Astyanax mexicanus: one gene and its partner. The protein of the gene in region 2 purifies or fractionates together with the protein of the main gene of each other region. This does not show direct contact. Links are inferred from orthologs where the notes say so. Each region holds a gene or a part of one and is shown on either strand. Other genes may lie near its edges. The genes, in order: tmem186 and heatr3.

Region 1 (12,269 bases), on a different chromosome or scaffold from region 2:
GATGCAACGGCTGAAAATGCAGTTTTTCTTGGGTGCATTTATAATTCCATGTATTTAATCTATGATCAAGCCAAAATAACCAGATAAAACATTTTGAATGTCTACACATCATTGATGGTGGAGCTGTTTGCTAAGGAACACTGTTCTCTCGACATCTCCATTAGATAAATTACCTCAGTCTGTGCTTGGCTGCTGCATCCAGTTTGCCAATTTCTGAGAAGCGCAGTTTGCTAAGAGGTCCTGATCCGTTGGTTGTCCGGTCCACAGTTTCATCATGCATTAGTATAGGAACGCCATCAGCAGTGAATTCCAAATCCAGCTCCACTCCTGTTGCTCCATTTGCGCTAGCCTTGGAGAAAACAGGACAAGAACACTGAGAAAGAAAACTAAAGTCTAGTACATTAAGTCATGATTAGGATTTAGGTCATGTCTTACATAAAAAGAGGAAGAACTGCTAGCATTGGTACTGCTGGTTGACCAACGATTTCCTCCAGTTGGCACATATATAACCTTATAACAAATACTGAACAAATATGTCTGAAAACAAATGTGTCACAACCATTGCTAAAACAGTAATATCTTATGTATAAAAAATGTCATGATCAGACCATTCTGTTTCTACTGACCAGCCAGTATAGAGTAATATAAAGATTATATGGTACCATAGAATAGTATATGGCAGTATAATGTTGTATAAAGTAGTATAGGGTGTACAGAGTTGCATGGGGACAATAGGGTGGATCAAGCATAAAGATTTTTTTTTGTGCAATATTTGGGTGTTTTTTTTTTTATATTTAATTTGTCCTTTTCCATTCAGTTTTTTATGTGCATTTTCAAAATTCACAAAAAGTCTGTGTATGTAAAACTTACATACAAAAACGAATTAGTAACACACATTTTGGGTTTGCTAATACAATAATAAACCATAGCAATAAATAAAATGCAACAAAACAAAAAATCTTGATTCCAGATATTTAAGGATATTTGTGCATTCTGCACAGACAAAGTCAAAGTTTAGACTGCGTTGTTTCTGCTTAGTGTTTTTAAGTAAACTGCAAGCTTATCAATTACAAAAATGAACCGTTTGTACCTGAAAAATACAGTGATAAGAATTGTTGGGAACACAAGCTAGCTTACAGTAATGTTTATGCCAGGGACCCATTCTGCTTTCCCTGCTTGTGAATATAATTCTGCTGGTTCAGCAGCTAAGAAGGCTTCACTGTTCCCCACTTCCCCTTTCCAGGCTTAAGGGGTTTATTTTAGACTAAATGGATCTCAAAATGAGAAGACTATTGACAACCGTGACAGAAACATTAATGTGGCCTGAACCTAGACCACATCTTCCATATACTAGCACTACAGTAATAATAATAATAATAAATATTATTATAATAAAAATAATTATTAATTTGAACTATTATCGTAATGGGCAAACCAAAGTGTTCTGCATCACACACAAGTGATATGTGGCCCATATTTGGTGACATTATTTGTTGCCATCAGGGAAACATACTTAGGTTTTTAAGCTGATGAATTCTGTTGATTGCAACGATGGTGGACCACAGATCACTTCAATCTAGGACAATGGTTTCAAACGTGTTCTCAGAAACCCCTGGACTAGTTCACAGTTTCTTATTTCTCAACTATCCCTGCAAGCTGAGACATGTGCTGAAGGTCAGACCAGCTTGAGAAATCTCTGCTGATATAGGTAGATAGCAGAGATGCACAGTATAGGTCAGTCTGTATGTTAGGATGTTATCTTTAGATGTTTTTAACTTCCCCGCTGAAAAATCCATCAAGTCTAGGTTTTGTTGGTAGCTGATATTTGATGGTTGGTTAATAGCCTGTTAAACCAAAAAGAGACATTTCGTATTCTGGTAAAAACTAGCTAGCTGGTTAACCAGTTGTTTTTCTTCTAGTCATTATTTCACGTGAAGGTCCCTCTCTGGAGAGAATAATGAGAATATTACGGGAATATTATGGACCTTACCGCCCGAATAGCAGCTATTGTGTTCTCCGGAGCATCGTGTCCTCCGCCGCGGTGAGCCACGATAGACACCCCCCCGGGGGCGAGCCTGGCCCCCGGCCGCAGCACTTGCTTTACTCGAGAGACTGGAAGCTGTGGGAATCGGAACAGCACCAGAAAGAGGTAGAGGGAGGCCGTGAGCCCCGTGGACCACACCGCGCTCCTGGTTCCGAGCAGGACCACCAGGAAGACGGCCGAGAAGCAGGTGATTCCGTCCCCCAGCTGCAGCATGCTGTCGGCGGGTAATATTAAACATATAAACACTACTAAAATAAACAGGAGAACCAGCACGCGACTCTCCATACAGCTGCTGCGGCGGAGCGGTCAGTCAGCAGGCAGCGCTGAGCTGAAGGCGGGAAACAGCGGCGAGGTGTCGCGTTTAAAGCTGTTTAGAGGAAAACCTCATTTTCCTCAGCAGCTGTCAAAAACCCGCAGCAGCAGCAGCAGCCCGACACCGCCGGAGAGACGCTCCCCGAACCGGAGAAGGACGCTTGGCGTTAGTTATAGCGCGTTCCTGAATGCACGGTATTCGCGCAGGCCAGCTGTCATTAGTCACTGCTATTGTCTGCGTTTTAGGAGCGCCTGTTTGATGCAGAGCTAGGCTGCGTTTGCTGATCGTTAAAGCTATGTGTGCAGATGATTTGTAGAGTGTGGCTGCGTCCAGAAACTTTTGCTACTCCTCCTCTCCTACTCCTCCTTTCCTACTCCTCCTCTCCTACCCTGGAAGAAGGTGGAGGAATCGAGGAGAGGAGAGGAGGAGGAATGGAGGGAATGAGCTGCAATTGGGGAAATGGGACAGCTGATCACTTTTAGATGGGATGTTGACTACCGTTGAACTGAGCCAATCACAACGCTCACTTTCAGCACGTTTCAGAACATTACTATCACACACAGCTAAAAATTCAGATATTCCAATAAAATCCTGAGTACTCCCAGCCGCATTTTTGGCCGCATTTCTGGCCAGTGACTCTGGCAGCCCTGTCTGACCTCAGCCTTATGAGGGTTTCAGTTTACTCATCAGTCCCTAAGTTAAAATAAATAAGTAAATAAATAAATTAATTAAAATTATATATATATATATATATATATATATATATATATATATATATATATATATATATATATATATATATATATGTTTTTATATGTATAACATGATACACATAGGGTCATAAATATAGTTTTACTGAGCATACAGTTTATCTAAACTATAAATTATATTACTGCTTTACTGGCTGTTTAATTAGATAAGGAACCTAGTTGATTAATATGTTTATGACGTATATTTGGGCGTTGCCTTCCCCATTTTCGCGTACTCTGTGGGCGTAGATGCAGTGATGTCATTGGAAAGTCTTCCGGAGTAGGATACACTGATGTAACCTCCGTTGGAAGCCTACTACAGGTGGATTTTAAGCGGCTTCTTTCGTCTCCTACGGTATTCGGACAGGCGGCAAGATGGCATCATGAAATCAGTTTCCGGGTCACGGAGGAGAGGAGGAGGATCGGTAGGAAAAAGGAGACACTTTTGGGGTTTCTGGACGCAGCCTGTATAATCTGCGCGAACATTTTTTCACTACAGCCTGCACTCTTTCACAGACAACCACCAGGGTTGCCAGATTGTTACATTGGCACACAGGTAAAACCAGGTAAAAGTCACTGGGTAAACCGTGTTTCAAATCTGCTAAAATGCAAATAAAACCGCTCAAAAAGGCGATGTTCAGCATATCAACAATATTCGATGTTTGTTTAACTGGGCCCTAATATAAAATAAAATAATGTATATTAAAATATCAATTAAAATATTTAATTGTATTATTGTATTATATACTAGTGCATCTCGAAAAATTGAATGTCATTAAAAAGTAATGAAAACACTTCAGTTTAAAATGTGAAACTCATGTATTATATAGATGAGTACTTTTGGCAGTGTGGTGAGTGTGCAAAGTCCTGCTGGAAAATGGAGCATGAAGTGCTGTAATATTTTGTGGGAAACCACTGCACTGACTTTGGACTTGATATAACACAGTGGACCAACACCAGCATATGACATGTCTCTCCAAACCATCACCGATTGGTGGAAACTTCTCACTAGACCTCAAGCAGCTCAGACTGCCCCCCAATCCCAAACCGCTCCCTACTCACTCCGCCCCTCTACTCCGCCTCCGTTTGCGCGTTCAGGTGGAGTGCTCGCCACATTAAGGGCTGTCCCAAAGTGATTAGGACGGAGTGGGAGTGGACTATAAAACCCTCCAACAGCGAGTGTACACCAGAGCACACTCAACCACCACGCTCCACGGAAGTGCAGCTTAAAAAGGAGAATGGAGGAAACACCGTACAAATGTTCCGACATCATTTTCAGCAAAAGTGTCACAGACTGACGGGTCAAACGAAAATCTCTCCTCAAGCAGGTCTCTGGATTATTGTAGAGACGTAAAATGGGCACTGCTGAATTAATCTGGATGTACAGCATCCTGCCTCGCTGCAAAGAGACATGTTTTAAATATCATACAGATGATTGATTTTATCTCATAAAAACTATTTGAATACACACCTCATTTTTATCCGCAAACAACATTTAGGCTGTGAATTTACCTAATTTACCTATTTTCTTTACCACTGAACATACACATTAGATTGTAATGTCTATAATAGACTATCATAACTATCGTTATAGACATTACTATCAATAACATTATTATCATATTTACACATTTTTTTTTTTTATTAAAACATAACTACACATTTGTACTACACTTGCTGATGCAGTAATGCAGCACGATGTAGCAGGCACTTGCGTCTCCTGACAGCTCGTATTCCCGCTTGGAGATTCTGAAACGATATCAAAGCACAAGACATGACAGCAAGGCGTCTGTCGGTAGCCATGGTGACGGCAGCTTCCTTTTTCCGCTAGAAAGCAAAAAGGGCGTCCCAGAGTTGACTCCTAAATTTATACCCTCCCCTTAATTGGAAGCACCCTTCACAGCACAGAGTGTGACTTCATATGGAGTGTCACTCTGTCGTGGAGTGTTAGTGAGGAGGGAACGGTTTGGGAAAGGGCCTATGTGTCTCTCCACTCTTCCTTCAGACTCTGGTGTCCAATTGAATTGAATTGTTTTACTATCAAGTCTAAAGTCAGTGCAGTGTTTCCCTGGAAAATCTTACAGCACCTCATGCTGCCCTCTGCTGACAACTTTTAAGTGGATTAGCCAGTGGACCAATGTGGATGCCGTCAGTAGTTGTATTCTGCCGTGTGAGAATAATTTTAATGAAATTGTGAATGACCCATAGACGCTATCATGGGTAAAGTGCTTGGAAAAATAAGAATTATTTAAATTACAAACATAACACACATGCAAGTGTCAGGTTTTTTTTTTCATCAATTATTATTTTTTTTTATTTTGTTCTTATTTCTATTATGTTTATTTTATCTATATTATATTTTAATACTTGATGTCTATACTTAATATATTTAATATTATTTTATTACTTTTAAAATTAACAATATTTGAAAATAAAAATATTTACTTTTTAGTTGTTTTTGCTTTATTTTATTGTTTATATTTATATTATTGTTTTATTTTTTTTAAGTTTATTTTGAAGCATTGTACTGCATTTTAATGCATGAATGGTGTTTTATAAATAATGTTGTTGTTATTATTATTATTATTATTATTATTATTAGTAGTAGTAGTAGTAGTAGTAGTATGTAAGGTAATGTAGCAGATATAAGAGAAGGTACCTTTATCAAGAAGACAGTGCATACGCACTCCCAAGATAAAGTGTTTTTCATGGCGGCGGTGCTGAACTCGTCGAAATCAGCACGTCTTTAATCGGTTAATATAACGAATTTAATCTGGTAATATAACAACCTCCTCCACCAGTCTTACACACTGCTTTTGGATAACTTTATGCTGCTTTACTCCTGGTGCAAAAATTCAAGCAGTTCAGTTTGGTGGTTTGATGGTTTGTGATCATCTATCTTACTCTTGATTATATTCCAGAGGATTTCAGTTTTGCAAAATCAAAGAAACTCATAATTAAGCTATGAGAAAAGAAGCTACTTACATAATAACGAACACAACCACTGCTTATTCACATTTCCATCAGCAAAACTATCTCTATCTCTGCCAGGTTAGCTATCTATAACACTGATAAGCCAAATTGCCAAAATCTTACCACTTGGTAGTTTTGTCAACCCTCAGCGTTTCCTCCAGTAAATTCTTAACACAGCCCGATTAAATTGGCAGAAAACCAGCCCATCTGGCAACATTGCAAGTTAATAATAGAAAAAAGAAATTTGCTTACAAAATACTAAAATTAAATGACAAAAATTGAGACACGTAATTACCATCATCTTTTACATTTATATATATTTTTAATTTACCAGTGATATTTTAAATCTTAGGTGGAATGTGTTTGTTGAATACACATTAAGCAGGATTTAATACACATTAAGCAGGATTTAAGAGGGAACGTCTGGCAGAATAAATTGGGGAAGTGGTTTTGGCACCATTGGAATACCGTACCATTGGAAATTATGTTAATAAAACCCGTATATTTTTAAAAGGAATAGGTTAATTTCAATCATTTTCTTTCATAAGAAACAATGTTTCCTTTCCTGCTTATAGGAACTATGTAATTTGAGGGTAAATGTTGCATTAGAAGCACACATTATATTACTTTTATTTTATATATAAAAAAAAACTCACCAGACGGTTGCATGAACGTTAGAGCCGGGACTCTTATTTTGACGTGTTTGACGCCGTGTTAAACGCTGTTTATACGCTGGCAGTAAATGTGTTGGCTGAAATGGTAAGCGTTTATAGAATTCTACACACTTCTAAAAACAAGTAAAATGTTTTTTCAGAAGGTAAATAATCAGCAATAACTCCTGAATAGGTTTATGTGATTAGAAGGTTCTATAAGTACATACAGATGTTTACAGTACATTAGCTGTGTATGCTAACAGAGCTCTCTCTGAGGTCACTGAGTTATATTACTATAGCCTCCTGTTGGCCTGTGGACCCATGTGGATGCCGTCAGTATTTGTATTCTGCCGTGTGAGAATAATTTTAATGAAATTGTTTAACACATGATGTATTAAGAGGAATAAAATATCCATCTAATACCAAATCTGGCTAAAGAGTCACCTGCCGATTAATCAATAAAACGGATATTTTATCCTCAGACACTCAGTAAAGTTATTTTTCAGAAGTAAATTCAGAAAGTTTGTGCAGTTTAAATTCACATCCAGGCTTGTTGCTAATTGGTCATTAAACTCCCAAGTTATTGCTAAGGTATCGGTATGTCAGGTGGTTACTCTGCAATTCTTATGGTGTTCCTGCTGGGTTGGAAGAGAGATGCTATGGTATTTTGGGAGGTTGCCATGTGGATGCTATGAATTTGATTTCTTTGTGGTTGCTGTGGTATTTCATATTTTTGATAAGGTTTTTTTGATAAGGTGGTTGTTATGGTATTGCTTAGGTGGTTCCTGGTTGTTACTACCGTGGATGCCCTTGGTATTGTAGGTGGTTTCTAAAGTGCTCAAGATGGTTTGTAAGGTATTGGATATTAAGTCGTTATGGTATTTGTAGTGTTTTCTTAAGTAAAAATCTTGCTATGGATATTTTAGGCTGCTTGCTGTTGTATTTCCAGTGGTTGTTTAGGTGCTTTGATGGTTGCTGTAGTATTTAGGTGGATGTTAAGGTGTTTTGTGGTTGCTCTTGTGGGTGTCCAAGGTTTCATGTGTTTGCCAAAGGGTAGCTAAGGTGTTGTTCTTCAGTAGAACTTTCTCAAACTTTTGTGTCTGTTAATGAATTCAGAGGGTTTTTTTTTTTTTCGATTGTTAGAATAAAAGCTCATCAACAGCAGAGATATGGGAGGCCTGTAGGATTTTACATATCTTACACTAATGAGTATTACACAATATTCCATTACATACTTGCCTTCAGTCCGGCTGGAGGAATGTTCAAACACGTTAGCTGTGCTCCTGTAAAGATGTTTGAGAAAGTCTAAAAAAAAAACTGGTGGGCTCTCTGTAAAACAGTGCAAGTGCCAAACATGATGATGCGGCAACTGTGAAAAGGTCTGCAGTTAAATGCTTTAATGTGATCTGTAAACATAGCTGTGAAACTTTAGAATTTGTATAAACAGCCCAGATTTGGAAACTAAGCTACAAAAGCAGTCTGTTTTGAATTCCCTTTTTTGTGATGCCACAAAATGCACTTGCCTCTTCAGCAGACCTAGCTCCTCCCACTCACACTGATGTCTTCCACACTAAAGACTAGGCTGCAGTCAAGTCTTTGTAGGAGTGTACTATGTGGAGGATATATCAGTTTTAACCTCAAAAACTGTGTGACCTAGAAATGACCTGAGAAATGCACCCTACCTTGACCTAGGTTTTGGGATACATCTATATTCTCATCCTGATTATAGTTCCCGGTTTACAGGTTATCAGAACAGAACTGTGACAATAATCACTTGTTTAAGGGATAATGATAGGTTGATAAACTATGTTCTATAATCTTACTGCATAAACCATACAAATAAAGAAAAACACTGTCTGATGAGGCAATAAGTTGTAGGAGGGGCTTAAAAATCTACACTGGCATTGTGGTAGTTTTTTGGGCTTCTGGGAAAGTGCTGGAGTGTTGCATATAAAATATTTCAAGAATTACTATTATTATAGGAGATCCCTTTATTGTGTTACTGTTTATTTGAACGTTCAGTGTTGCAATGATGCACTACAATGTAGTGTGTATTATACCTCTAGTAAACAGTGTCATCTCTTTACAGCTGAGGTCACCAGGTCTGATCCGCCTGACCTTCTCCATAGCAGCTCCTGGGCATCAATGTCTCCGTCAGTCTCAGAGTATCCGCCCGCTCCTCTTCCCTTACACACAGACAGGGACGAGGGGTGCAAGCTGGACCAGGTCTTCTGTCATCGTACCAAATAACCATCCGCCATTCCCACTGCAGTGCCGAGCTCTCTCTGCCAGTTCTGATCTTGCCTCAAGGAAATACTCATTAATTTACACTTTTCCAGCCATCAAAGTACTGCGGGCGCTCTCCAGACTCAAGCTCCTGCAGACAGGCATCACCACTGCTCTCCTGCCTGCCGTCTTTTATTTTTACCTGCAGGAACAGGCGTCTGTCACCCTGCTGACCTACACCACAGGTATCGCAGCTTTTGCTGCAGTCATGCTGTACGCCATAAGCCACTACATCAGGCGAGTAGTGGGGATGATGTACCTGGACTCGACCCAGACCACATTAAAGGTGTCCCACCTCTCTTTCTGGGGATACAGGAGGGACATGTACCTGCCCATTTCAGACGTCATGACCCTGGGAGACACAGGCGACTCTCCTGGTGAAGCCATCCTGCGGCTGAAGCGATACAGCTGCTCCGACACTATGTATTTCTCACCTAGGCTGGGGCGGGTGGTAGACAGAGACGGCTTTGAGAAAGTGTTCGGGTCTTTCTCTTGATGGTGGTCAAATTGTAGCCCTGTAAATTATGTCTGGTGTAATGTATGCAAGCTTTTATTAGCTGTTAAATTATAAGATGTTAATAAAAAGATGCTTTCTTATCCAGGTTTTATTTATATTCTGTTGGTTGCAAATAGAGTCTAACTCTGAGTCATCTGTCCTAATAAGTTCATAGAATTATCTTAATTTACTGAATAACTTGTGACTAATGTAATTCAGAGTGGTCGAAATCAATAAGAGTCATACATACATACATGTCTGTGAAATGTCAATGTTATAGGAGACCCCTTCTAATGAATAAATTCATTAAGTCCATTTCTGATGCAGATGTGCACAGGCACACACACAGCTTGTTTAGTCCATATAGAAAAGTGCTGCCAACAGAATAGTACTCTCTGCAGGAGGTGAACACCAATTGTCACGATGCTAAACGTGGGCTAGAGGCGTATAAAGCCCACAGCATTGAGCTATGAAGCAGTGTTCTCTGGGCACTTCATCCAATATTTCAATACTTTTGGCAGAAAATGGATTTGGGGATGATTAGGGGTAGAGATCACCTCACAACAGCTTTGGACTTTTTTTTGGACAATTGAATTTAATCAAATCCCCAAAACAGTCCCCCAAACTCTAGTAGAAAGCCTAGAGACTCCAAGTTGTACAGTTAAAGCCTAATAATATCTGTCTTTATTTTAAACAAAATGAGTGAATGAGCAGGTGTACCAATAAATTTGACCATAAAGTGCAGTTCCACAAAAATACTACTTCCAAATTGTACACATAAAACCCAGAGGACTCTTAGTTAACCAGGCAATGAAGTTGCTTGATTACTTTTATTTTTTTTATTATTTAATTTATTACTTTTACACAATGTCTGTTTGGTATACAGTATTTTACCATAGTTCCATTTGTTTTGATTGTAAGTAAAGAATGTCTCAGACTTTATGTAGTATTGAGCAAATACACAATGAAGGTTTTGTGCACACCTCATAAATATCAGATCACATCACAACAAAACACAACATAGGAGCTAGAGGTGTTAACACCATATAGAGTGCAGACAGTACAGCAGGGGTTCTACGTTTGTTTAACAACATAGAGCACTCAAAAAGCTTTGTTTTACCCTTTAATACATTTTTGAGTAACAGTAGAATATGTAATGCCCAATCTGGCTAAAGAGCCATCTGGTGAAATCAAAAAGTAGCAGGTATATTTTTCCCTTTTCTTTTCTCAATGTTTGTTACAGCTCTTTCCACTCCCCCATGCTAGCTGTGCTGAGAGATGTTCAAGATGCTTGGAAGAGACCCTTACTACCAGGTCTGTTTCTTTAGCTAACAAACTCCCATGTTAGCTAGCACCTTGGTAAGTAATGGGTTGGGGGAGAGGGTTGTCCATCACATTGACCCAGAGACAGTGTGACAAAACTTTTGTCACAATTGGCTGTTATAACAGTGAAATTTATATGAATTATATATATTGTATCTCACTTCAGTGTACTGCTTTTAAATTATTTGCAATGCCCTTATAGTGATTTTCTACTGGTCAAATCACATTATGTACCAAGCAGCCAATCCGGTGATAGCAGCAATCCATGTGGCCAGAAGCACTTGGGCACTGGTGTGTCTGAGCAGTGTCCTGGCTAGCTGACACATATACGTTGTGTTCCCACTAACCGCTAGACACAAACAAAAAGAGGACAGCTTTAGTTTAATCAGTAAAATAATTAATAGAGAAACCAAAATCCAACACTGACAGAACATTTAAGCACAGTTATTTGATAATCCTGATATTGGTGTTTAACAATGAGGGGCAGTTTCCAAGACACACAATAAATCCAGTAGGTTATTCATCCTTTCAATGGATAGTCTTCATTCATCTTCAACACCAGTCTAATTTCCTGTCTGGAATTCTGAGCCTGTAACTGTGTTTACATATGTTCATAATCAGATTACTGTAGTTATCTGATTATTCATATATTCAAAAGTGAACAGCATACTTTGTTTTTTTTAGATTGAAGTAAGGTCTAAAAATCTGAGAATAAAGAGAGCTGGATTTTATCTTGGTAACTGTATTTTCTCAGTGCATGTAAACTCTTAACCAGAGAATTCTCAGATGTCTGCCTAATTATACTTTAATACTTTAATTATACTAATTATATCTTCTCTGAAGTAATTTCACAATTTTAAAACCTTTTTTGCTAATTTTTTGCAGTGCTGTTTTCTTTTTCCTCATCGTGTTGTATATGTGCAGTGGATTTTGGGTAACTGAGGACTGAAGGATAGTGTCCCAGCTGTGTCCTTCAAATCGCTCTGAACCCTCTGAGCTGCATTTCTCTGTTATAAACGAAGAATCCTTCAACTTTACAAGATTTCAATAAAGTAGTGGCCGAGAAATGCAGGTACCACCTTGAGCTAAGGAAGGCCTTGATTTTTATTAGCTGGAGAGGTGTGTGGGGTGCACGGAGGCCCTCCAGCACTAGACTGGGAACCACTGCTATGAATAATTAAAGTCATAATCATTATGGGCTCTATATTAACTAATATATATATCTATATTAACTAAGACCTGCAATGCAAGTTCAATTATACCAGTAGTCATTAGTAGTAGAAGACCTAGGACCAGCATTTTTACAAAAAATGCTATTAATCAACAAAAGTTTAATGTTTTTAGTAATTGTAATAATCTTATACACATTAAGTCATCTCATATTACTGTAAACCAAAAGGAAAACTGTACAGATAATCCAATGAGTAATCTT
Region 2 (12,743 bases):
ACATTAAGCACACCCACTCAAATACACCCACCCATGCATGAACATTCATACCTTGGAGGTACGTGGGGGGAAAAAACAATCTACTCAATACATGAACTCATATTTCCACACACTCATATTATGCCACCAATTAAAGATTTACAATCAAAAAGTTGATGTGAATTATCATGAGTTTAAATGAGGTCTTATAGTGCTTAAAGTAACAGGACACCATTTCTGAAATTGAGAAGGTATTTAAAATTCACATTCCATTTCTACATTATCTCAATACCAACTCAATCTAGTAGCAGATTAATGTACACATTAACCCCCTAACAGGCCAGGATTTTAGTAAATTTTCTGCCTGATGTTACAACCCTAAATCTTGAGGACTTCTATTCAAGCACTGCATAAAAAGCTTTCATGTTTGATAAGGAACATTACTGAAAAGCATAATTGTAATTGTAATAGAAAAAAAGAAAAGAATTTAGTAAATCTACTAATGTCAAAATGTAATAAATAAAATCATAAAATTGGCTCTTTCCTAAACTTCATATTCAAATCAATATTTTCTGAATACAAATCAAGCAGTTCATGTCCTCCAAACCTTTAGTTTCATTATGCTTGTCTAGTTTTTACATCTATTTTCAAACATGCAAAATTGGAAATTATTAAGTGAAGTAAAGAGAAAACAGGCAGCTTCTCTAAGTGTCCTGTAGGAGATTTCAAAGCTCTCAAAGTTTTCAGAATGTAAATAAAATTTTTTTTTTTATCTCCTACACCAGTAGCCTGTATACATGACAAGGCATGTTAAATGATTAACATATGACTGAGCAATAATTAAAAATAAAAATTAAATAAAAATACTCACAGGTAGAAAATCAGAGATGTCTTTATCAATCTTTGCATGTTTCCCATTCTTCTTCCTACCGTTCTTCTTCACCTCCCCATCTCCCTCCTCCATCTCCTCCTCCTCTTCCACAGAAGCTCCATTTCCTGTTGCAGGCTGCTCCTCTGAATGCGCTGAAGCTGAGACTGGCTCAGCTGTGCTTTTGCTGGCTAGTCGGCTCTCCTGGGCCTGCCACAGATCAGGGATCAGTGACCCAGTGTCCAGACTGAGGCAGTGGGCAAGAGTGGCCACCACCGCGGTCAGAGCTTCTGCCTGACACTGGGAGGAGAAGCAGGCCTTTAGGTTCCATACTGATCCTGAGAAGCGGAGGGAAAAACAGTAAATAAATAGAGCCAAGGTTGTCTTTACAGTCTGTGGCATTTTAAGGCTTTTAATTGATGGATTTAAAGACATTTTTTTAAGAAATGCATATTTAACAGTCGTATCCATCTCTGTACCTGCAGCCAGTGTGCGCAGCAGAACGTGCTCCATGCTGGACTGTGTGGAGAGCAGTACATTTTCCAGAGCAGCCAGAACTGCCCCGCTCACACTTCCTGTCAGCTCTGAGTTATCCTCAGTCACTGTGTGTAGACAGTGGGCTGCAAACACAGATTAAAACAAGAATAAGCATATATACTCAGTCACTGTAAACACATGCAGCAGAAGGTATAAGCAGTCAAAGTGGACACACAGGAAGAGAAGGGTGGGTTAATATTGCATATTGCAGTGTATCAGAATATATTCTGCATATAATTAAAATATTATTTGGTGTGTGTGTTTCACCTGCTGATACAGCGAGTTGGATGTTCTGTGGATGTCTCTCCAGGCAAAGCAACAGAGCATCCGTAAGCCCAGTTCTATTAAACACAGATACTGCTGTACTGCTGCTCTCACTACAAACACAGACACAAACATATTGTTTAAAAAAAATATTAAAAGATAACCCATGAATTTTATTTATTTATGCTTTTAAATACAGGTTAATCTACAGATAGAGTAGATACAAAAATCACCAGTTTAATATGCTGTGTTTATATTGCTGTGTATTAATTCTGCTATAAGAAGTGAGTGTACCAGAGGTTCCAGAGTAAGTTCACAGCTTCATTTGCTACACCCTCCACTGTGTACTTCTGTTCCTTTTTCACTGGGCTGGAACTTGGCTGAAATCCTCCACAGCACTGCAGGAATAAAGAGAAATAACCCTCATCAAAAACCCTGGTAAATGAACAGGCACAATTATTGACAAGAATTTATTTTTTTTATATAATTTTATTTATTTTTTTCTCAATTTACACAGCCAATTACCCAACCCACTCATTAGGACTCCCTCTATTAATCACTAGTAATGCCCCAAATCCAGAAAGGTGAAGACTAGCACATGCCTCCTCCGATACACGTGAATTCATCTACCGCCTCTTTTCGAACTGAAGCAGCATCGCTGAAGCGCAGTGACTTGGTTCCAATACATCAGCTCACAGATGAAGCCTTGTGCTGAGCGACATCACCCTTTGAAGTGATGTGGGGAAAGAGTGCCCTCTACCCAACCAGAGAGAGTAGCTGATGGCAAGCTACATGATCAGGAATCGAACCGGCGATCTCCTGATTATAGTGGCAGCACTTAGCCCGCTGGATCACTCAGAGCCCCAACAATATTTTTTAATGTGTAGCTCCAGCTATCCTGATCAGCTTTTCTTTTTTTTATACTGTAGATTACTTCAAAATTAATCATTATCAGACAGTATGAAACTATATATATTTATACAGAAATCCTATAAAGCTTTGTAAATATATATCTTTAGTAGGTTTAAGCAGTGATATGACCACAGAGTAGATCTACAGGTTGGCCCCTAGTGAGTGAACTCACCTCTTTCAGAAGGGCAGTCAGGGGAGTGAGCACATCCTGTCGCACCATATCCTCACACACATCCGGGCCTCCACAGGCACTTAGGTTTCTGTAAAATTATGATGTTATGAATAATTATTGATAATATATGTTAAAAGCAATATTGATAGTCAGTGGTGGCACCATGGCTCACTTTAAAATGACAAAAATATGTCTAATAAAATTCCTCAACCAACAAACTTCACTCTAGGCATATTTAGGTTTTTCAGACAATTAAAAAATTTTCCATTCTTGATTACACGTTTAATATTATTATTATTTTTTTTTTTTGCATAAGCATACGCTGACACAGCATTTCTAAGGCTAATAACTTCTGAGTTAGGAAACACAGTGTCAGTGATGTAAAGCACCAAAAGAAATTTGAGTAAATCTTTAAGCACAAGAAATTACTTTTAATATTATTGTTCTGCAATACTGTATAAATTCTCAACAACACACTATTATAATTGTAATAGTTTATATGTAAATATCTGTGTAAAAAATGTGGTTTATTTTATATCATGTTTAACCACACTGTTACAACCTGGTCTAGGGTCAGGTCGCAACAGAAAATGAGAATAAGCTCGCTCCCCAGACCCTTTTGCCAGACTAAAAACCAGACCACTTTACCCCAAGATAAATAAGAAACTGTAACAAAAGTAACAGAAAATATGAAGTGGATGTGCTGGGTATGTCTGAGAAAGACGTTTTTTTCCAGGACAGGAAAGAGAAAAAGCCCTGGGAGTCTTTTTGTAGATGTAACTATTGGTGTGTGTTTATACTTTTATTTAATTAACTGTGCAATTTTAAATAATAAACCATTTTCCTAAAATTCCAAACAGTATCACAAGATATTGCAATATATTTTATTGTAAATCTTATATTGTGTTTATTTTGACAGACAAACCAAGTCTACAAGATGCTTTGCATCTATAAAAGAGCTATCTTTTATATAAAAAAAAACTTCTTGAAACTTTTATTAAATATGTAGCTTACCTGAGTGCTCCTGTAGCAGTCTCTCGAACCGCTAGGCTGCTGTCCAGTAGTAGTGGTCCAAGTCTCCTCACTGCATCTCTCTGCAGAAAGCTGGGGATGGTCTGGCTCTGCTGGACAACACGTGAGATACTCGCAGACGCATACTCGCGCACATCTGCACAGGGACTCTGCAGCTGAGAGAACAATACCAACAGACAGTCAGTCAGATAGACAGAGACAGACAGATAGTGATGTGAACAGTAAGCATGTCAGACAGAACTACTTTATAATTCTCCTTTCACTTCTTCTTCAATGGTAAGGGCCCCACAGAGAAGGTATTATGTGGGTGGTGCGTCATTCTTTCAGAGCACTGCAGTGACACTGGCATGGTGGTGGTGAGTTAGTAATGTGTTCTGCTGGAATTAGCATATCAGCCACAGCAATGCTCATGAAATAAGTGGAGCGTTTAAAATGAAAGTAGAAGTGAGAGTGTAGAAACAAGGATATGGTGTTTATGTTCCAGCTGATCACTGTAAATACTATTTTCCAAAAAAAGTTTTAATTAACTGAGGGGCTGCTTTATTTACACAAATTAAATACTCAGCACTAAGATACACACATTGGATTGGGTAAAAAAAAAAAAAAAAAAGAACTTGATCCAGACATCCCTAAGTCAGTCATTCAGACAGAAAGTCAGTCAGTCAACTGTGGAGCTTCAAAAGTGGAAGAGTAATCTGGCCCATGGCAGAACTTTTTTTTAAGATGAGCAGATATATTCTAATGAAGTGTTGAGTTCTAAGTATAGCTCAAATATATACCTTGTCGTTTTATTCTATAAACTACGAACAACATTTCTTCCAAATACCAAATAGAAATATAGTCATTTAGAGAATTTATTCGCAGAAAATGAGAAATAGCTGAAATAGCAAAACAGATGCAGAGCTTTCAGACCTCAAATAATGCAAAGAAAACAAGTTCATATTCATAAAGTTTTTATGAATATGAACTTGTTTTCTTTGCATTATTTGAGGTCAATATCTGTGGAATAACCCTGGTTTTTAATCACAGTTTTCATGCATTTTGGCATGTTCTCTTCCACCAGTCTTACACGCTGCTTTTGGATAACATTATGCCGCTACTGGTGCCAACAATTCAAGCAGTTCAGCTTGGTTTGATGGCTTATGAACACCCACATTCCTCTTGAGGTTTTTAACTTGGTAAAAAAAAAAAACTCTTTTTAAGTGGTCTTTTACGAACACTGAGGATATAACACTTTGATACAGTGTAAAGTAGTCGGTGTACAGCTTGTATAACAGTGTACATTCTCTGAGCCATTATACATAATCAACACAGCCATTAATGTCTAAAACCACTGGTAAAAAAATGAATACACGCCTAAGTGAACATTGTTTCTATCCTTAAATACAGCCTGTTCACACTTGAGTATCATGGTTTGACAAGGCAGCAAAACTCAGCAGAACACTGGTCAGTTAGCTAGCATTAGCGCTCAGCTCTAGGTATATCTATATACCTTCTCCAGCAACTCCACCGCCGGAGACTCTTCAGCCTCCTCCTGCTGCTCCTCTTCCTCCAGCACGTCCTTAACAGCGGACACGGAGAGCCCGTCCGCGCTGAACTGCGGCCGTTTGTAGCGGGTGTTCTTGGTTTTTCCCATCGCGCTGCGGGTTACAGTGTTTTAATCTGTTTGTATTAAAACGTGACTGAAACTGACTGCTTCCACTGCCATGTGGAGGTCCACTGCCGCCTGCCCGAAACCATAGCAACGGGCCGTAAAGCCACGCAGTACTGTCGTACACCGTCGCAAGGCAGCATTTCAGCTGCCCAAGAGTGCACCCATGTGGCACCAAAACGGGTTACAGTCTTTTAGTGTTTTTTTTTATTTATTTTATTAATATTAAAGACATGGAGACAATTAAAGGACACATAGGGAATTACGCAGTAAACAGTAAAAACAGTTAGCATGAGCTGAAGCTTCACAGCGTGAAGTAAAAGCAGCAACTATTGTTCAGCACCTCCAGAAACTCCTTTTTTCAAAACGCTGAGAAAACTATTCTAGGTGACTCTCCCTCATGAAGACACTGAGATTAAAATTTAAACCAAGAGTGTGCAGATCTGTCCTCAATGCTAAATGTGCAACTTAGAAGAATCTAAAATATGATCTGGTTTGTTTAACACATTTTATTTACTGAAATAATTCAGCATGTGTTCCTCCTGTAAAGTTTTTATATAGCCTTCAATATTAAATTTACAACGTACAAAATCATTAAAAGAAAGAAAACACATTTACATGAATGAGAAGAGGTGTGTCCAAACTTTTAACTCGTATTCAGGCCAAGCAATTGCAACAATGACAGGTTATTGACAGGTTATTGCTGCCATCAGGGAGGAGACTGCGGAGTCTCGGGGCGAGGACCAGCAGACTGCGAGACAGCCCCATCCATCAGGCTGTGAGGATGCTGAACTCTCATCCTGCTCTACCCCCCATCCCAATCCTGCCCCAAGCACACACTCACTGCCAAATTTCCTTCGGGATCAATCACCATCAATATTGCACTATTGTCTTACGTATGTTTATTGTGTCTTGCTGTATTTTTTTTTTTTTTTTTTTTTTTTTTTTTTTATTTCTAATTTTTTCCCATTTTCTCCCCAATTTACACGGCCAATTACCCAACCCATTCATTAGGACTCCCCCTATCACTAGTGATACCTCAACACACCAGGAGGGTGAAGACTAGCACATGCTTCCTCCGATACATGTGAAGTCAGCCACCGCTTCTTTTCGAGCTGCTGCTGATGCAGCATTACCGAGCAGCCAGCGCGCTTGGAGGAAAGCGCAGCGGCTCGGCTCCAGTACATCAGCTCACAGACGCCCTGTGCTGCAGACATCCCCGTAGGAGTGATGTGGGGAGAGAGCGCCATCTACCCACCCAGAGGGAGCAGGGCCAATTTTGCCCCTCTGACACCGGCAGCTTGATGGCAAAGCTGCATGAGCTGGGGTTCGAACCGGCGACCTTCTGCTCATAGTGGCAGCGCTTTAGACCGCTGGACCACTCGGCGCCCGTGTCTTGCTGTATTGAACATATAGTGTCTCCCACTCTTTTATATTATAATTATATAGCTATTTTTACTTATTTACTTATATTTATATATCTATTCCTCCCCCACACCACTGCACCTTGTTTTTGTCTCATGTATGTCTATTTGTGTCCCTGCTGTATTGTACACATAGTGTCTCCCATTCTCCTTTATTATATCTATTATCTGTACTTGCTGTAAAATTGGGAAGGAGAGTAACGTAATTTCAATTCTCTGTATGTCCTGTACATATGCAGTATTGACAATAAAACTACTTGACTTGACTTGACTTAAGAATTAAATGCAGCGACAAAATGTGTGAGCACCCTATTAAATTGTGACGGTCCATGAGCATAAAACTTTTATCACAATCCCCATCAAAGGGGCCCCTTCCACCACTTGCCTTCAAATCCTTGAGGGAAATTCCTACTTATGAGGTTAGAGGAGGTCAATTACAACTTAACATGTGTCCGAGTGTTTTTTGTTTGGGTGTAAATGGACACCAATTCTTTTGTTCATATTTTTGGTCTATAGACCACTGAAGTCGTGTGTCATTCTGTAGTCCTCGCATGGCTTCGGTGTCTAAGCGTTTTTTCACTATGAGGAAAATAAATCTGTTCAGAACCCTGTACATTTTATTCTGTGTACATTTTACTCCTGAAAATCACTGTATCACTCTTTTCAGCCCAACACCAGCGAACTCCGGCCGTATGTTTACAGCATATTACACCCAGCTAATCCAATTAATGAACTAATGCCCTCACTGAGGAGAGCAGAGAGTGTAACCAAACAGCAGAAAAAGACTAACCAAACAGAACAGAATAACCCAGAACCACCTTTAAAAGCTGTAGCACGTTTTACCATTTACCGTCTTTATTATGCAGTGGAATAAATTAGAGATGTTTGCTGCTTCTGGCTCCTTGCTGTAGTACATTAAGCCACGTTAAGATTTTTACTTATAATAGGTTTCAAATAATAAGACTGGTTATTAAGAAACCTGAAACTCCATCCTTCTAAATGTAAACTAAGAATTCAGGTAAATGGGATAAGCTGCTTGATTAATAAACACATCAGCCAAAGACTAGAGGGCAGGATCATACCAGAATTAATGAAGACTACACATTAAACCCTGATGAGCCTCAGATCTAGAACTAGTTACCAGCCTGAGGGGCATGTAGTAACTCTAATACATCTCCTTTACTTAATGAGAGCATTTACTACTATTCACTACTGTCTGGTAGGCATCTCTCCGGTGTTGGGTCATGTGGTCATTTATTCGGGTTAACGCTGATTTGATCAACTCTGTCAGATAACTCCCAACACTGAACATCATATAAAACCTAAGAGTGTTAAAATTACTCTTTGGGAGTGAAAATCAACTCGGAAATGATTCATTCTGAAATTTTAACAATACAGTTTTTGCTGTGATATTATAATAGCCTGCACTGTGGTCATGCAGTGTGGAAGAAACATCTAAATAATTATTATTAATATTAACATCTTATTATTTGTGGGAAGCACCTTCTCCTAAAAGCATTATGAGTGTAGAATAGCCCAGCACAACAATTTAAACCCTTTAAATTAATGTTAATTCAATACACTAAGAAAAATAAGTACAGATTTGTACTTAAAAGAGTACAAAACTTATGTATCGCTGGGGTTGTACCTTATATTGAGGTATAGAGTATCTTTTAGTAAAGTCTTTTTTTTACCCATGTTTTTTGTACCAGTAAAGATTATAAACATTAACTGAATTTGTGTCAAGAACATGATGATCCAAAATTGTCTGGCATGTCTGGCAAATAAAAAATGTATAATTAAAATATATATTGTTTATTAATACAGGGATACATAATTCCAAATGTACCTTTTCCCTGGTTAAATGGTACAAATCTGTGCTTGCTGCTGTTAGAAAAGACTTCAGAGGGAACATATCTGACCCTCTAAACATCAATATAATACATTTGAGGGGACAATTATGATACGACTTTCAACACTTGCCTATTATGCAATGTTGTTTTTATGTCATTAACCTTTAAAGATTTAATGCAAGCAAACATTTAGGTTTATTCAATATTCTTCTCTATCAGAGGGGCATAACAGTATATAGCCTGTATTACTGAGGCTGAACTGCAGCATTTGTCAGAACTTCAAACAACACTGCTGCGTTCTAAACGTGCCTGCCTATACGCGTAGCTCGACAGAGCAGCATCACTTCACGTGCGGTTGTTGTGAGGTTAGGTTGGTGATTTGAGCTGTTTAGCTGTTTTTAGCTGTTGGTGTGTTTAGCTGTTCTGAGGTTAAGTAAGTGTTTTTGGTGTTTTAGCTGAGTTGCTGTGTTTAGCTGTTGTGAGGTTAAGTTGGTGGTTTTGGTGTTTTTAGCTGTTTTGCTGTGTTTAGCTGAGTTTAGCTGTTGTGAGGTTGAGTTGGTGGTTTTGGTGTTTTTAGCTGTTTTGCTGTGTTTAGCTGTTGTGAGGTTAAGTTGGTGTTTTTGGTGTTTTAGCTGTTTTGCTGTGTTTAGCTGTTGTGAGGTTAAGTTAGTGTTTTGGTGTTTTTAGCTATTTTGCTGTATTTAGCTGAGTTTAGCTGTTGTGAGGTTGAGTTGGTGGTTTTGGTGTTTTTAGCTATTTTGCTGTGTTTAGCTGAGTTTAGCTGTTGTGAGGTTGAGTTGGTGGTTTTGGTGTTTTTAGCTGTTTTGCTGTGTTTAGCTGAGTTTAGCTGTTGTGAGGTTGAGTTGGTGTGTTTAGCTGGAGCTGCTTTTGTGGGGACGATGCCCAGGCCCGTAGCCAGCATTGTGATGGGGGGGGGATCTTTTTCCCCCAAAAGTGGACTTCATTTGGCTCTCTACTCCAATGCCCCCTAAATACACGAACACACTTCAAACCTTTTAATTTAGACATATTTTATTTATTATAAGTTTGTTGTGAATCTGTTGTTGCTGTCCTTATTTGTTCGTCTGTTGCTCCCCACTGTTAACATACATTTGATATAAATGTAAGTGTTACTCAAACTTCCTACATCTGTGATGTGACTTCATTGTCTGTCTCTGTTGCTCACCTCAGTTGTCTGTTGCTTTGTTCCATTGTCTCTGTTGCTGCCCTCCATTGTCTGTCTCTGATGTTGCTGTCCTTTATTGTCTATCTCTCTACTATTGACATAAATAGATAAGAATTACTTCATTAGGAACACTATCGGTATGGTCATTAAAACTTAAACATGAATTAATAATAATATAAATTGAAGTGTTCTGTCTTATTAAAATCTTCCTATAACTGTGCTGGGACTTCGTTGCCCCCCACACCCCCCCTCTCCCTTCAGCTCGCTGAACTCTGCGCCTGATTGGCTGACAGAGCTCATTTGCATGCCGTGGGTCTGCTGATTCATTAGATATGCGTGGATTCGTGGAGCGACCAATAATCCGCTTTTAATAACGCGTTAAAGTTGATATTTTTTTCTGCCTCAAATTATTTCAAGCACTGTTTGGATATATGTGAGAATTACTGGTGACTGGATTGATGGATTTTCTTAAGTTTGGAGGCGTTTTGAAGGTAAGAGTGTGGGGGAAGTGCTGGAGGGAGTTGGGTGTGTGTCTCGAGTGTCCTGAGGTAAACACAAAGCGAAACACAAGCAGATTTAAACTCTAAACACAGTTCCGTAATCCGGAGAGGCAGACGGTTCGAATGGTGTATATAACATGTCCGCATTCGATCAAATATGGACGTACGAAAAACGTAAATATGAAAATAATATTTCATAACTTTCATAAACCAGGCATATTTCGCCCCAAATGTTTATTTTCTGAAAGGAGATACGGCTAAATAGGCTAGATAACTGAAAAGCTTTAAAATGGCATATTGGGTGTCTACATTGAACCTATAAGTATTCATAAACACAGCCAGATATTAAATATGATATTTTTCTGGCCCGTGTTAAGAGGTTAACCCCCTTTTTACACCTCTATACTGTATTTTATATATGGCCTTAGGAGCAACAGGCATGTTGAGAGTAAAATACACCCTAGCTTGATCGTCAGAATTGCAAAGTGAGTGACTGAATGTTATTGTCACTTAACCTACATTTCTTAAAAATCAACTAAAATCCAGACTTTGGAGTTATCGCAATAATAACAGTAATAATCCGGTGTTACATGTACAATTATACTTTTGGGCTCAGCCGAGCCCGGCACTTTTAACGCAGGGGAGTTGTAAAGAAATAGAAGCCTGCACTCAGCAACTTACCGATTTTGGGCCTTTTTTGAACAAGTCACCAATATTTTGGGATAATGTTACCGCCGTTTTCTTCCGTTTTCGCTCCTTGTCTTCTTTTTTACCCATTTTCTCAAGTAACTTTCCCCTGATTCTTATTCTTTCCACAAGCTAAGAACAGAAATGGGGAAATTATCGCCACCTACTGGATTTGTGTAAAACAGTCTGAACAAAATGTGTAAAGAGAAACATTAACAATTTTTGAGCAGCAGTTACAGCCTTCATTGTACTGTACCGTGACGTTTTACGTGACAGTGCCGCGAGACAGTGTCACGTGGACCCCCTAGTGGTGCAGGCCAGTTACTGCAGTGGCATGCTGTGTCACGGGACAGTGTACTGTGCTGTGACGTTTTACGTGACAGTGCCGCGAGACAGTGTCACGTGCACCCCCTAGTGGTGCAGGCCAGTTACTGCAGTGGCATACTTTACATAGCAGTTAGACAGTGACAGTGGGACCTGACAGCGTTATTTACACTTGCAGCGCGTAAAAAAAGTGTTGTGAAGGGGAAACGGCTCTTTACCTAGCTGAGCCAGGCTGTTACTTCTGATTTCAAATCAAGGACGGCTGCTGTGCTTTTGACTGTTAATATTGCGAGTTAAATCAGCTGCTTAAATCGCATGACAATATGTGAAGTTCATAGGATATTCATTCAGACAGACATTGCCTGCTGTGGCGTTCCAGTCACAACGGACATGCGCCACTAGAGGACTTTTAAGATAAAAGCATGTCTGCCGTTTCTGGCACATGACAGCATTAATTAATCAGAGAGCATGTAATAATAGTATATTTTTTTTTTATGAACTGACACACTTATATATGTATCATGTATATTTACATGTAAACTCACATGTGCTACATCATTATGTCATTGTCATAAGTTTATAAGATATTATTAAGTTATTATTTTAGAAAAAAAAAATCAGAGCATGTAATACATCCGAATGAAATGTACAGGACAATTATTATTACATTATTAAAATTGTATAACACCCATTGCAGAATAAAAATGGTTAATATAAAGTATTTGTTATCATTCTACTGCAAAATTAATGCTCTCTATTTCTTTATTTGCACGTAGCACCGTCACATCCATGTAAAGTATGCCACTGCAGTAAAGGGCGTGCACCACTAGGGGGTGCACGTGACACTGTCTCGCGGCACTGTCACGTAAAACGTCACGGTACAGTACAATGAAGGCTGTAACCCCCTCTCCAATTTTTCTTACTCGTCACTACTCTGGGGGCAGGCGGGGGGGGGGGGGGGGGGGGATTGGGGTGGCTGAGGGGGGGGTTGTGGGGGATGGGGGGGGGATCGAACGAACCCTTCGATCCCCCCTGGCTACGGGCCTGATGCCGCTGAAGGAAGAGCGCTGAACCGGGCAGGGGGGATGAGGATCGAGTGAAGGAGGTCCTGAAAGAGCTCGATGCCCACACACTAAAAACTGCTGGGTTATTTTAACTACTCATCTGCTGGGTTATGAAATGTCTAACCCATTATGAGTTATTTCTATGGGAACTGGGTTATTTTTGGGGGGATTTGGGTTGTTTTTGTGCAACTCATGTGCTGGGTCAAAATTTCGCAAAGTTCTTCAACCCAACATGCATCAGTTGACCCAGCAGCTGGGTTGTTTGTGCTTCGACCGTCATCACGTTTACA

What was found.
Region 1: the proteins of heatr3 (region 2) and tmem186 purify together in Homo sapiens (co-immunoprecipitation; 3 studies listed by BioGRID and IntAct, counting the BioPlex papers as one, with this or other methods). This does not show direct contact. The link is inferred for Astyanax mexicanus from reciprocal best matches to the Homo sapiens genes HEATR3 and TMEM186.

Annotation. Positions count from the first base shown.
Region 1 is NW_026040046.1:1,823,391-1,835,659, forward strand, and holds tmem186 (transmembrane protein 186), read left to right. Parts: upstream 1-6,740; 5' UTR 6,741-6,835; coding exon 6,836-6,838; intron 6,839-8,821; coding exon 8,822-9,514; 3' UTR 9,515-9,615; downstream 9,616-12,269. Other genes in the region: gde1 (glycerophosphodiester phosphodiesterase 1), read right to left, coding at 174-349, 1,991-2,329; hmox2a (heme oxygenase 2a), read right to left, coding at 11,059-11,186. UniProt on the Homo sapiens protein: As part of the MCIA complex, required for efficient assembly of the mitochondrial complex I.
Region 2 is NC_064430.1:12,189,131-12,201,873, forward strand, and holds the start of heatr3 (HEAT repeat-containing protein 3), read right to left. Parts: upstream 5,511-12,743; 5' UTR 5,401-5,510; coding exon 5,257-5,400; intron 3,920-5,256; coding exon 3,747-3,919; intron 2,821-3,746; coding exon 2,733-2,820; intron 2,047-2,732; coding exon 1,943-2,046; intron 1,762-1,942; coding exon 1,652-1,761; intron 1,468-1,651; coding exon 1,327-1,467; intron 1,186-1,326; coding exon 851-1,185; intron 1-850. UniProt on the Homo sapiens protein: Plays a role in ribosome biogenesis and in nuclear import of the 60S ribosomal protein L5/large ribosomal subunit protein uL18 (RPL5). Required for proper erythrocyte maturation.